Linked DNA regions of Saccharomyces cerevisiae S288C. Changing the gene in region 2 together with the main gene of any one other region gives a genetic interaction. Each region holds a gene or a part of one and is shown on either strand. Other genes may lie near its edges.

Region 1 (4,266 bases), on a different chromosome or scaffold from region 2:
ACCTTATTGCAGAAAACGAGATCTTCGTCGCATCCAAAACGTACTGTCCATACTGCCATGCAGCCCTAAACACGCTTTTTGAAAAGTTAAAGGTTCCCAGGTCCAAAGTTCTGGTTTTGCAATTGAATGACATGAAGGAAGGCGCAGACATTCAGGCTGCGTTATATGAGATTAATGGCCAAAGAACCGTGCCAAACATCTATATTAATGGTAAACATATTGGAGGCAACGACGACTTGCAGGAATTGAGGGAGACTGGTGAATTGGAGGAATTGTTAGAACCTATTCTTGCAAATTAAGGGCAGACAAAGTTTTTTCCATGCACACAGGTTTATAATGAGCTTATATATATGTATATGTATATGTATACAAGCATGTGTTTGTATTTACAGGAAAAAAATCGATGAATATATTTAGTGTGTCGGAAGAGTGCTTGTGAAGGCGTCTTTAGCAGTTCCGAAATACGTTAACCCACCGAATTCCGTTTGGCAGACTCTTTCCTTCCTACTGCTCTTGACGCCCTTGCGGTACGTCCGATTTTTGACTGCCTCCTCGATGGAGATGGCATACGACATGGGCACCACTTTAGGCTCTCGTACGTCTCGTTCTCCCCAAACTTTTACTTGGCCCATTACTTTAAGAACATCGTCCATGCCGCTTATTTTCCTGAAATTAACATCGCAAAACTTCATGAACAAATGCAGGGTATAGTAGGCATCGTTACCGGCATTGTGTAGAAACGCATGCGGTATCTCGAACAACCGCAGAATCTTGCCCAGACTGCTGCCCTTTTCGCCATACGATTTCCTGTAAAACTGCTCAGTGTCCAAGATGAACACGTCTAGATCACCGGGAGTTTCAGCCAAAAGCAGCGTATGGTCCAGATGGCCTTCATACCCTCTGCCAGGGAATTTGACACCAATAGTCTCCAGCCACTTAAGATCCCCGCTCACGTGATGACCAACAAATGCCCTTGACCATGTCTTGTCTTCTTCGGTCACCGGGACCAAGTAATAGTTTATTAGTGATTGAATGAAATGCACGCACTCTTTCAAGCTCAAAACATAGCTTTCTCCCAATAAGTAGCAATCCTTGTAGTCACAGACCCATTTTTGGTTTCTAAGTTCCAGGGACTCCTCGATAATTAGGTGGTAATTCTTTGTAATTGGAACCATTGACGGCACCATATTTTCCCTGGGGTCATAAATTGAAATCCCAATTTCGGTGATTACGTTCTGGTTTGTTTCGAAAGCCTCTATATCAAGACAAAAGCATATTGCTCTCTGAGAGGCCATCAGCCTGATGCATTTCTCCAGATAAGCAAATTCATTCGAGCGTGAATGTGCTTCCACCATGGGCCAGAACGTCTTCCTCACGCTGTTTTTCTCGTCAGCCAGTAGTTTCTGTTCTGTCTCTAGGAGCTTGATGGTACCATTCATTCCTAACATTTTCTTCTGAATGGCTTCGAACCAAGCGGTGTCGCTCATTCCTTTGGGCTGCGGACAGATACAGTTGGCTCGGTCCTCTTTGGTCAATGGAGACAGCCGCTGTGATCTTTTGGACCTGGGTGGTACGATCGTGTCGCTTAATCTTTTCAAAAACCGGCGTTCTTCCACGAGTTTTTCCAGTTTTGCATGCACATCACCATGTACCATATGCCATTCACTGTCCACCTGCGCCAGTTTGGCTTCCAATTGCGCCCTGGATTGTCCATAGGAGGCATCAAACTTCTGCCTCATCTCCGCCACATATGCATCGATCATGGGCTTCCTTAGTTGGTCCAATTCCTTAGAAAACGCGGTCTTTCTCAACTGTACATAGTAATCTATCTGGTCCAGCCAATTGCACTTAGCACGGTCCCAGGGCGTATTCAATTGGGTCCTGGCATCCAGAAACGCCTCCACACAGCCCGCGATCTTGCCGCTTCCTGTTCGGTCCTTCACTAATCCTCTGACAGAGAGCGTCCCATTACTTAGTTTTGTTGCCAAAGCACCGGTATTACCGCTTCTGGAACGATAACGGGGGCCTGCGCCGTTATTATTCCTCCTCTCCCAATGGACGCTTTTATCGCTACCGTTATTACTGTTATCTCTCACCATTTTTTGAACCTGCATGTGGATCTGGACTCTCGAGCAAGACCCAAGTTCTCATTGCCTCCTTTCCTTCTTCCCTTCTTATATGTTGTCTTGTTGAACCTCAAAACACTAGCGGATAATACGGATTTTGAGGGATGCTCATCGCAAATTTTTCAGAAATGGTGCACGGATGTACCCACGCAATGAAAAATTTTTTTCACTTCTGGTAGGTCAAGAACAAAGAAAGAAAAGTACAAGTGTAAACATTTCTTAACATCTTTTTCGGTTTTATGAAGATCTTTTGGGATCCTAGATCGGTAATAGAACATCAGGATTACTCTGGACCTGCTAACGTGTTTCATCTTCTTTTCACTTCTCTGCCCACGATGTCTGCTGAAACCGCCGCCGCAAACACTGCTACTGCCCCAGTCCCAGAAGTGCAAGAACAAGAGAGCTCCAAGAGCAAGCAAGTCAACTTGACGCCGGCACCATTGCCCACATCTTCCCCATGGAAACTTGCTCCTACTGAGATCCCTGTTTCTACTATCTCAATAGAAGACTTGGATGCCACAAGAAAGAAGAAGAACAGAACACCCACTCCGAAATCATCGACTGCTACCAAGTGGGTTCCCATCAAGGCCTCCATTACCGTCTCTGGCACCAAAAGATCCGGTTCCAAGAATGGTGCAAGTAATGGCAACAGCAACAAGAGCAAAAACAACAAAACTGCAGCATCGTCGACATCGTCGAGTAATGCTAACAGGAAAAAGAAGCATCACCAACATAATGCTAAGAAGCAACAACAAATGAAGAAAGATGGCTTTGAATCGGCAGTAGGTGAGGAAGATTCAAAAGACGCTACCTCTCAAGAAAATGGTCAATCTACACAACAGCAACAACCACCTCACCACCGTAATCATCACCACAGTCATCACCATAACAGCAATGGTCCTCAAAGGAGAAAGTTCCACAACAGTAATAACGCCGGTATGCCTCAGAACCAAGGCTTCCCACCACAGTTTAAACCTTACCAAGGACGCAACGCTCGTAATAACAACAACAACCGCTCTAAATACCACAACCACTTCCATCACAACCAACAACATCCTCAACAACCTATGGTCAAATTACAGCAACAGTTTTATCCAGTCCAACCAGTGTTAATGGCCATCAACAACATTGCTAGACAAATTGAATACTATTTCAGCGAAGAAAACTTGACCGTCGACAATTACTTAAGGTCCAAACTCTCCAAGGATGGTTTTGCTCCATTGTCTTTAATCTCTAAGTTTTACAGAGTTGTTAACATGTCCTTCGGAGGTGACACTAACCTGATTTTAGCCGCATTGAGAGAAATTGTCGCTAACGAAGCCGCTACCGTCAATGTTGCAGAAGGTACTTTGGCCGCCAAGGAAGGTGATAACGTTACCGGTGAAGCCAAAGAACCATCTCCATTGGATAAGTACTTCGTTCGTTCCAAGAGCTGGTCAAACTGGTTACCAGAAACTTTTGAAACTGAAATTAATATTGAAAAAGAACTGGTCGGCGATGCATTGGACCAATTCATGATATCCCTACCACCTGTTCCTCAACAAGAAGAGGAATCATCCACTGAACTCGCTTCTCAAGAACAAGAAACCAAAGAAGACTCTGCGCCGGTTGCTGCCGGTGAATCCGAGTCTTCCTTATAAAGGCCTCTCACACTTGCAAAATAAAAAATGGATTCGTTCATTGCATTTTACACAAAAAACCATAAAAAATTGAAAAACCTAATAATTAAAAAAATTAAAAGTTAATCATCCTCCAGCAAAGCTGTTTTTTTTTTGTTTTTTTTTTTTTTTTTGTTTTTTTATCCATTTTTTTCATTTGTTCCATCAGTTTAATACGAAAGAGAAAATAAAAATAAAAACTTTGAACAATTTTCATGTTTTGAATTCATTGTACATTATCATCATAAGCAATAAGATACAAATATTTATGTTTTTTTTTTTTTGTTTTTTTTTTTTTTTAAGATATAAAAATACTAGCCTCTTCTCACTTCGTTTTCTCTCTGTCTAAGTGGCTACCATCATGAGATATGATATTCTTTCTTCTCCCTGCGCAATTCTTAAACCACCTGCTTTTTTTATTCAATTTTTTGCTAATTTAATAATTGGGAAGAAGATATGAAAAATGCCTATTTTACTCTAAG
Region 2 (4,492 bases):
TTGCTACTCACTGCCAACCGTTTTCCGCTAGCAATATTTTCCCATGTATTGACGAGCCTTCAAACAAGTCCACTTTTCAATTGAACATTGCAACGGATGCACAATATAAAGCCGTTTCCAATACTCCTGTAGAGATGGTCGAAGCTTTGGATAGTTCTCAAAAACATTTGGTGAAATTTGCCAAGACACCTTTGATGACTACTTCCGTATTTGGTTTTTCTATTGGTGATTTAGAATTTTTGAAAACGGAAATCAAGTTGGAAGGTGATAGGACTATTCCCGTTTCAATTTATGCACCTTGGGATATTGCTAATGCAGCTTTCACTTTAGATACAGTCCAGAAATATCTACCTTTGTTGGAATCCTATTTTAAATGTCCATACCCTCTGCCAAAGTTAGATTTCGTCCTACTACCATATTTAAGTGACATGGCAATGGAGAACTTTGGTATGATCACCATCCAACTAAACCACCTGCTCATACCACCAAATGCCTTGGCCAATGAAACCGTCAGAGAGCAAGCACAGCAACTCATTGTCCACGAACTCGTTCATCAATGGATGGGCAACTACATATCTTTTGACTCGTGGGAATCTCTTTGGTTTAATGAGTCTTTCGCTACTTGGTTAGCTTGCCACATACTAGAACAGAATGGTGACCTATCCCATTATTGGACCTCGGAACCTTATTTACTACAGCAAGTGGAGCCGACCATGTGCAGAGATGCAGCTGACGTTAATGGAAGAAGCATATTTCAGATTGCGCAACGGAACACTGGCATAGATTCTCAAACCTCCGATATTTTTGATCCTGAGGCATACACAAAGGGTATTATCATGCTGAGGTCCCTGCAATTGGCTACAGGCGAATCTCATCTACAAAAGGGCCTGGAAAGTGTATTTGAAGATACTAAAACATTTCATGCGAGAAGCGTCAAACCAATGGATATATGGAATCATATCGGAAAATTTTTGAAGTCTCAAAATATTACAAACTTTGTTTCATCTTGGACAAGAACGCCAGGCTTACCTGTCGTTAAGGTCGAAGTAGAAGAGAAAGACGGGAAAACGCAAACAAAATTGACTCAACACAGATTTATCAATCAATTATCTACTGAAGAAAAGGATCAGTTAGAAGATGTCCCATATCAGGTACCCTTATTCGGGGTTCTGCCAGATGGTAAAATGGATACTAAAAATGTACTATTGACGGATAGGACCTTAAAGTTCGATTATCCTATCTTAGTAATTAACCATTTAGCCCAAGGTTATTACCGCGTTTCATATGAGTCCGAAGAGTGCTATGCATTGATTAATGATAAAATAACTGAGGAGACGTTATCCGAGATTGACCTTCGGAAGATTTTCTTAGACTTGTCGCAGTTTATTGGAGATGAGGGTTTCCAGAATTCTATTCATTTGCACGGTCTCTTTAAGATACTAAACCATATCGCTTCTCCTTCCACAAAGATTGCATCAAAATATTGGGATCCTCTTTCCAAGGGGTTGGAAGTTCTGCAAACGATCGATCGTGCCAGTTTAACGAGCTCTAAATTACAATCTTTCTTAAAGAAAAAAATTGTCATTCCCCTTTTCAATAAGATTGATTGGCCCCACGGTGAATTTGATAAAAGCACAAACCCTCACGAGTTGAAAGTCATGTCTCAAGTCTTGTTTTTAAATAAAAACTCCGCAAAATGTGCTGAATTGTGTCAAATTTATTTTAAACATCTATTACAGGGCCCACGTTCGAGCGTACCGTTAGAATTAGTGAACTCAATCCTTGTCGTCGTATCGCAACATTGTGCAAACATCAAGCAGTGGAAGAAAATATTCGATTTGGTGAAACGCAGTTCCTGTACTGGTATCACAAACCATGTCATTAATATGTATGACCAAAACAGTAGCGAAACCGCCATGTTGATTCAAAACGGTGCAATAGAATCTCTTGGATTCTGTTTAGATTCTGATATCGTGAAAAAAACTTTGAATTTTATCACTTCCAATATTGAGTCAGAGGGGATGGAACTGGCATTATTCGGATTTAATTACAACTTTAAGAAGAGGCTGAACAAAAACGAGAAACCTCAAGACCAAGTCGTTCGTGAAACGATCTGGGAGTGGTATATGGGCAATTTTGACCAATGGGCACGGAAGGCTACAAGGAAAGGTACCACCACGGGGGATCATCTACACAAGGCGTTAAGGAGTATTTCCCTGATAATCTTTCAAATGTTTGTAGCAGACGAGCCACAGAAGATAGAAAAGTTTATTAATTTGGAGAAAGAGAAGTTGGGTCAAAGCTTGTTATCTTTGGACGACATCTGGGCCTCTGTCCAGCAAGATGAAGAGTCCAGAAAGACTATAAGAAGAGACTTGGCCTCCTTGGTCTGATTTTTTACAAGTATTTCAACACACTATCGTACGTAGATTTAGTAGTCTTCTAAAATAGTACTATAAACGATGTTCTCTTAGCAGAATTCGAGTTATTATTGTCATATACTACGAAAAACCTGTAGATTCAACAATAATAGGTTGGTATAAAAGAATGTAAACATAAGGAATATTAATCTAGTAATTTTTTTCTCATGAGGTTGAGAAAGCATCTAAAATAGCAATTAGCAAAATGGAGAAGATCAAAGAGAAATTGAATAGCTTAAAATTAGAATCTGAGTCATGGCAAGAAAAATATGAGGAGCTGAGAGAACAGCTCAAAGAATTAGAGCAATCTAACACTGAAAAAGAAAACGAGATTAAATCTTTGTCCGCTAAAAACGAGCAACTCGACAGTGAAGTGGAGAAGTTAGAGAGTCAATTGTCTGATACAAAGCAATTGGCTGAAGACTCCAATAACTTGAGATCTAATAATGAGAACTACACCAAGAAAAACCAGGATCTAGAACAACAGCTAGAAGACAGTGAAGCCAAACTGAAGGAAGCAATGGATAAACTGAAAGAGGCCGATTTGAACTCTGAGCAAATGGGTAGAAGGATCGTTGCTTTGGAAGAAGAAAGAGATGAATGGGAAAAGAAGTGCGAAGAATTCCAAAGCAAATATGAAGAAGCTCAAAAAGAATTGGACGAAATTGCTAATTCATTGGAAAATTTATGATTCCCATTGATAAGACTAAAATTACGGAAGATACAAACGACAAACGCGCTAAAGGCAACGGAGGTGATGATTTTATTATTGCTCACACAACTGATGTTGCTGACAGATGGCAAATCCTTTTCATTTTAGTTATTATCATTGGGTGCTTTTTGGAAAAAAGATGAACTAAGCCTCTCTTTATTTCGTCCATTTTATTCTAGCTTTTACATTATGCTTTCACCTTTACCAAAAAATAGTATGTATTTCTTTTCCCCTTGCTATAAATCAAAAGTACGTAGAAACATAAACAGGCGAGAAATACATATGCATATACGTCTACACTACTAATTTAATTTCCACTTTCTTAATATCAGTCAATCGAAACCACTAGCTTTCACACTAAGACTAGACCCTGTTTAACTAATATAAACTTTTCCAGAAAGCTAAAAAAAAGGTCGGAAAAAGAAGGTATACGTTTTTGCGACGACTGAGATCCAAGAAGAAAAAAAAAATAGTAATCGTTGCGTCAGCTTTATGAATAGATGGGTAGAGAAGTGGCTGAGGGTATACTTAAAATGCTACATTAATTTGATTTTATTTTATAGAAATGTATACCCACCTCAGTCATTCGACTACACTACTTACCAGTCATTCAACTTGCCGCAGTTCGTTCCCATTAATAGGCATCCTGCTTTAATTGACTATATAGAAGAACTTATACTGGATGTTCTTTCTAAATTAACGCACGTTTACAGATTTTCCATCTGCATTATTAATAAAAAGAACGATTTATGCATTGAAAAATACGTTTTAGATTTTAGTGAATTACAACATGTGGATAAAGACGATCAGATCATTACGGAAACTGAAGTGTTCGACGAATTCCGATCTTCCTTAAATAGTTTGATTATGCATTTGGAGAAATTACCTAAAGTCAACGATGACACAATAACATTTGAAGCAGTTATTAATGCGATCGAATTGGAACTAGGACATAAGTTGGACAGAAACAGGAGGGTCGATAGTTTGGAGGAAAAAGCAGAAATTGAAAGGGATTCAAACTGGGTTAAATGTCAAGAAGATGAAAATTTACCAGACAATAATGGTTTTCAACCTCCTAAAATAAAACTCACTTCTTTAGTCGGTTCTGACGTGGGGCCTTTGATTATTCATCAGTTTAGTGAAAAATTAATCAGCGGTGACGACAAAATTTTGAATGGAGTGTATTCTCAATATGAAGAGGGCGAGAGCATTTTTGGATCTTTGTTTTAAGTGCAAAAATGAAATTTGAAGAATGGAATTAAAATTAAATGTCTCTAAGTATAAAAACTAAATAAAATATAGGGTATCTGTAAACCACTAATAAAAAATAAAACAGGAAAATAAAATTAAGCAAAATATC
Region 3 (5,359 bases), on a different chromosome or scaffold from region 2:
TCAGTTAATTATTATTGAATAATATATGTAATAGTGTACACAAGTGTTTACAGTTTTTGTTTAGTCGTTTTAACCAAAGCTTCATTCTTGAACGAGTCGAAAGCCCGGTCAAACATCACCGCTCTTTCTTCAAGGGTCAATTGCGGAATGTGTGAGGACTGCAGCGGGGAGGTAAGGACAAACTCGTGGATGTGGTGATTAATCCTCTCGATCACCAGGTCCGGAGCCTCAACGTTGACCAAGTGGGAGCCGCCGGGAATGACATCGAGATGGTAGTTCTGTAGAGTTTTCTGCAAAAACAGCTGATTTTGCGGAGGACACCAGTTGGAGCGCGCGCCCACAATGTGGATAGTCCGCTTCCTCACAAACTTCACATTGCTGATCAGGAAAGGCGCAAAAGTCTGCATGTTCATGTAGCAGAGGAGATTTTGAGCCTGCTCCATCTTCGTGCGAACGGGTCCACCATCTTCATCGTCTCCAGAGGCTTTTGTCCTCTCAAAATCGATGATGTTTTGCAGGATTTGGCTGTGCGCATTGGTAAAAAAGGAACCGTTCCTCATATATTTTACATATTCGGACTCGTTAGCGAAATGGTCGCACGTCTTTAAACGTAGGGAGTTATAAAGATTTTCTGGGATCTGCGGAGAATCGGGCGGAAGCCCTGGCCTCCCGGCGCCGATGGCTTTCCGTGTGATTACTACAGGCTCGATCAAGATGAGCAAATGAAACAGATTGGGCTGCAGGACGTCACACGCAAGAGCCTGGAACCCGCCCATCGAGTGGCCGATGACTACGTTTAGTGCCGGGTGGCTGTCAATACTGCCCAACTCGCATGTGGCAATCTTGAGCACGTCGCGGGCCCCGTCGATCCAGTTGAAATTGGTGCCGAGTCTGCCGCGGTTGCGTACCGCAGAATCACCGTGGTTAACCTGGTCGATCAACAAAACCTTGTCGATGGCATAATTGCCCTCCGCATCGGCGGCTACCAGACGCGGCAAATAGTACTCCCATACCACCTTACTCATGCCGCTGCCGTGCAAAAACACAAGGTTAAGCCTAGTGGCAGTGCGAGAGCGGCGTTGCCGCTCTGCGCTAGTGTACACATCGTATGTGAGCTCGAGGCGATCTGTCGCACACAGCGTCGACTGCGGTGCGCGCGGCCAGCTAGCGCTACAAGTTTTCGTTTCTTTCTTGAACCTGTTCTGTTCCATTTTAGCCGCGGATGTTGATCGGCGGATACGCAGAGATAAGCAGAGTACGCACTAGTGAGCTTTTTTAGCACGCACATTACGCACTTTATATATATGCTAAAGGGTGCAGCAGCGGGCGCGGCTGCACTAACTCCGAGATTGCGGAGAAAAAACTCGTACTACCACATTAAGACGTCTCCACTTCGGTATCCGACTCGGGCTCCGTTTCGTCCGTGGGTTCTCCAGCAGATGTCGCCGGCACGGGTCGGTGTTGTTGCTTCTTGGTAGGCGACGACAATAGCATCAGTGTTTCGACAGCCGTGGCCTCCTCCCGTGGTGGGTGGCCTCCGAGCGCCTGAAGAAACGCTGTATGCGCGGAAGTACCCGCGTCTGCACTATCTGGAAATCTGTTGTGATAGCGACGTGGCGGCGTCTGCACTGCTGGAGCAAGCTCCGTCTCCAGCTCGGGAAGTGTCTTGTCCGTCCATCCATTTTGCAGCTTGACTAACGCGTAATTGAGCCTGGTGCGCAAAGTATGTGATATTTCGCGGATGGGCCGCTCGCCCGTAGACCGACGCGCAGCCGTCGGAGGTGACCTCAAACGCGGCGACGGCGACAGAAACACCTCCGACCGTCTTGACTTGGGCGTTGTCGGTGGCAACAAAGGCATACTAACGTGTCCGTCGTACTTCTTTTGATTTTCATTTTCTTCTTCATTTTCGTCGTCCTCACTCTCACTTTCGTGTCCGTCGTCGTTATGGTCATATACACGTCCATGTGCGGTTATGCCGACACGACGCTTATTGACGGGCGACATGAATATACCCTGAAGACTCGTTGTCGACGGCCTTCTTCTCGATTTAGTGATGCTTTTCGTTATGCCTGGTGGTGACGGCGGCGATGGTGTTCCAAAGCCATTTTTGAGACGTACTGGCGTGCTCAATAGAGTGGTTGGCCCAGGTCGCTGCTGATGCTCGTTGTTTACATGTGTATCTGGGTTCTGTACCTGCTCTTGTTCTTGTTCTTGTTCTTGTTCATCGCTAGTCCTGCTTCTCTTCGGCGTTCTCAAACTCATATTCTTCAATGTCTCTACTATTTTTCGTTGCTATTAATATCTGGTTGTGCTTTCTTCCATCAGGTTCTTTGCCTTGTTTTGCCTTTGTTTTGTTTTGTTTTGTTTTGTTTTTTTTATTTTTTTCGTTCTGCTCTTGAAGTTTTCGCTTCCCTTTTCCCCCTTCCCTTTAGCACCAGAAGTCATGAAACAATTAGTAAATCAAGAATTATCATTAAGGCAGCGCGAGGAATTATATAAAACAAAAAAAAATAAAAAAATAAAAAAAAAAAAAAATAAAATTCGAAAACAATAGGAGACAAAAGACATCATAAACAGCACAAGGAAGACGGTTCTGTTTCGTTGCTATGTCTAATACCTTGCCAGTAACAGAATTTCTTTTATCCAAATACTACGAACTTTCCAACACTCCTGCCACAGACTCATCATCGCTCTTCAAATGGTTATACCACAAGACTCTCTCCCGTAAACAGCTGCTCATATCCGATTTGTCTTCCCAGAAAAAACACGCCATCTCCTACGATCAATGGAATGACATAGCGTCGCGATTAGACGACTTAACGGGACTTTCCGAATGGAAAACAATCGACGAGTCCTCGTTGTATAACTATAAGCTGCTGCAAGACTTGACCATCCGTATGCGCCATTTGAGAACCACTCACGACTACCACCGCCTGCTTTATCTGATTAGAACTAAGTGGGTCCGTAATCTTGGCAACATGAATAACGTTAATCTTTACAGGCACTCGCATACCGGCACAAAACAAATTATACATGACTACCTAGAAGAGTCTCAAGCAGTGCTCACCGCGCTGATCCATCAGTCAAATATGAACGATCACTATCTCCTCGGTATTTTGCAACAGACGAGAAGAAACATAGGGCGCACGGCTCTCGTGCTTAGCGGTGGGAGCACTTTCGGCCTTTTCCACATTGGTGTTCTTGCCGCCCTTTTTGAATCGGACCTGATGCCTAAGGTGATCAGCGGTAGCAGTGCTGGCGCCATTGTTGCCAGCATATTTTGCGTCCACACGACCCAGGAAATTCCCTCCTTGTTGACCAATGTACTTAATATGGAGTTTAACATCTTCAATGACGACAATTCCAAATCTCCCAACGAAAACTTACTAATCAAGATATCGAGGTTCTGCCAAAACGGTACCTGGTTCAATAATCAACCTTTGATTAACACAATGCTTTCGTTTTTAGGAAACTTGACCTTTAGGGAAGCCTACAACAAGACTGGAAAAATCCTGAATATCACAGTCTCGCCTGCTTCCATATACGAACAGCCGAAACTACTAAACAATTTAACCGCTCCAAACGTTCTCATCTGGTCTGCCGTATGCGCATCTTGTTCTCTACCTGGAGTTTTCCCCTCCACGCCGCTATTCGAGAAAGATCCTCACACTGGAAAGATTAAAGAGTGGGGGGCAACAAATTTACATTTATCAAACATGAAATTCATGGACGGATCTGTAGATAATGACATGCCCATTTCTCGTCTTTCTGAAATGTTCAATGTCGACCACATTATCGCCTGCCAGGTAAATATACATGTCTTTCCCCTGTTAAAGTTTTCAAACACTTGCGTTGGGGGTGAAATTGAAAAGGAAATTACCGCCCGTTTCAGAAACCAAGTAACAAAGATCTTCAAATTTTTTTCCGACGAAACTATTCATTTTTTAGACATCCTAAAGGAGCTTGAGTTCCATCCCTATTTGATGACCAAATTGAAACACCTTTTTTTACAACAATACTCTGGCAATGTCACAATTTTACCCGATCTATCAATGGTTGGTCAATTCCACGAAGTATTGAAGAACCCATCTCAACTTTTCCTATTGCACCAAACTACTTTAGGTGCAAGAGCTACTTGGCCGAAAATTTCCATGATTCAAAATAACTGTGGCCAAGAATTCGCCTTGGATAAGGCCATCACATTCCTAAAGGAGAAAATAATAATCTCTTCGTCAATAAAAAACCCTTTACAATTCTACCAACCTCGATTCAGTGAGCAAATCAAATCTCTTTCCATAATGGATGCTGACTTGCCGGGAGTTGACTTGGAAGAATCCTCCTCCAATTCACTATCAATTATCAAGTCTCCCAACAAAACAGCGGCACCGGGAAGATTTCCTCTTCAGCCATTGCCTTCTCCATCTTCTACCTTCAACAAGAGGAAAATGGATATGTTATCGCCTTCTCCATCGCCTTCTACATCTCCACAACGTTCAAAATCTTCATTCACGCAGCAGGGTACAAGGCAGAAGGCAAATTCTTTATCGTTTGCCATCGGTGCATCTAGTTTACGGCTAAAGAAATCACCATTGAAGGTTCCATCACGACCTCAATTCAAAAAAAGATCTTCTTATTATAATCAAAATATGTCGGCAGAGATGAGGAAAAATAGAAAAAAATCTGGAACAATTTCCTCTTATGATGTTCAAACAAACTCAGAAGATTTTCCCATACCGGCTATTGAAAACGGTTCATTTGATAACACTTTATTCAATCCAAGCAGGTTCCCCATGGACGCTATGTCGGCTGCCACAAACGACAATTTCATGAACAATTCAGACATTTTTCAAAATTGAAATGAAAGACAATAAGTACATTTTTATATAAAAAGCTTTCTATATTCTCACCTCCATCAACTCCAAAAGGTACATGCCATTTTGTTATATTAAATATTCTAAGAATTTTCCGAAGGATACTGCATTATCATCAGTGATTTATTAATCTATGAGTATGAATATGAATTAATTCCAAATTTTCTCCATACATCTCTTTCATAAACACAATCCACTTGAGTAACTAAGTTCTGCGCTCGGATCATATTAACTGTGATATGAGACACTTGGGAACATCCGTCAATATTTAAATATGCCAGTGGTTGACCTCCCGCTTCGTTGTCATGATCCATCTGAAATTTTTTTAGAAATTCATATATTGATATTCCTGTAATTTCAAAATTGTGCGAAATGTCAAGCCTCTTTAAATTTTCCAAAAATGGTACATTAATAATGAATGACTTCATCGTACTATCATTCAAGGAGCTGAGATGCGATAAATTTATTTCTTCCAACTTGGAGAG

What was found.
Region 1: of TPM2 (region 2) and SRO9, extra expression of one rescues a mutant of the other (dosage rescue), as found in Saccharomyces cerevisiae (one study listed by BioGRID).
Region 3: mutations in TPM2 (region 2) and TGL5 together harm fitness more than expected from each alone (negative genetic interaction), as found in Saccharomyces cerevisiae (2 studies listed by BioGRID).

What each region holds. Positions count from the first base shown.
Region 1 is NC_001135.5:56,874-61,139, reverse strand, and holds SRO9 (Sro9p), read left to right. Parts: upstream 1-2,461; coding exon 2,462-3,766; downstream 3,767-4,266. Other genes in the region: dithiol glutaredoxin GRX1, read left to right, coding at 1-299; GFD2 (Gfd2p), read right to left, coding at 414-2,114. UniProt on the Saccharomyces cerevisiae protein: May overlap in function with tropomyosin and may be involved in organization of actin filaments. Acts as a multicopy suppressor of RHO3 mutation. RNA-binding protein which may modulate mRNA translation.
Region 2 is NC_001141.2:87,849-92,340, reverse strand, and holds TPM2 (tropomyosin TPM2), read left to right. Parts: upstream 1-2,625; coding exon 2,626-3,111; downstream 3,112-4,492. Other genes in the region: TMA108 (Tma108p), read left to right, coding at 1-2,393; REV7 (Rev7p), read left to right, coding at 3,625-4,362. UniProt on the Saccharomyces cerevisiae protein: Involved in cell morphogenesis. Binds to F-actin and stabilizes the actin filaments.
Region 3 is NC_001147.6:476,439-481,797, reverse strand, and holds TGL5 (triacylglycerol lipase), read left to right. Parts: upstream 1-2,609; coding exon 2,610-4,859; downstream 4,860-5,359. Other genes in the region: LPX1 (triglyceride lipase), read right to left, coding at 48-1,211; transcriptional repressor WHI5, read right to left, coding at 1,378-2,265; DNA-binding SCF ubiquitin ligase subunit DIA2, read right to left, coding at 5,006-5,359. UniProt on the Saccharomyces cerevisiae protein: Lipid particle-localized triacylglycerol (TAG) lipase. The lipid droplet/particle is a lipid storage compartment which serves as a depot of energy and building blocks for membrane lipid biosynthesis.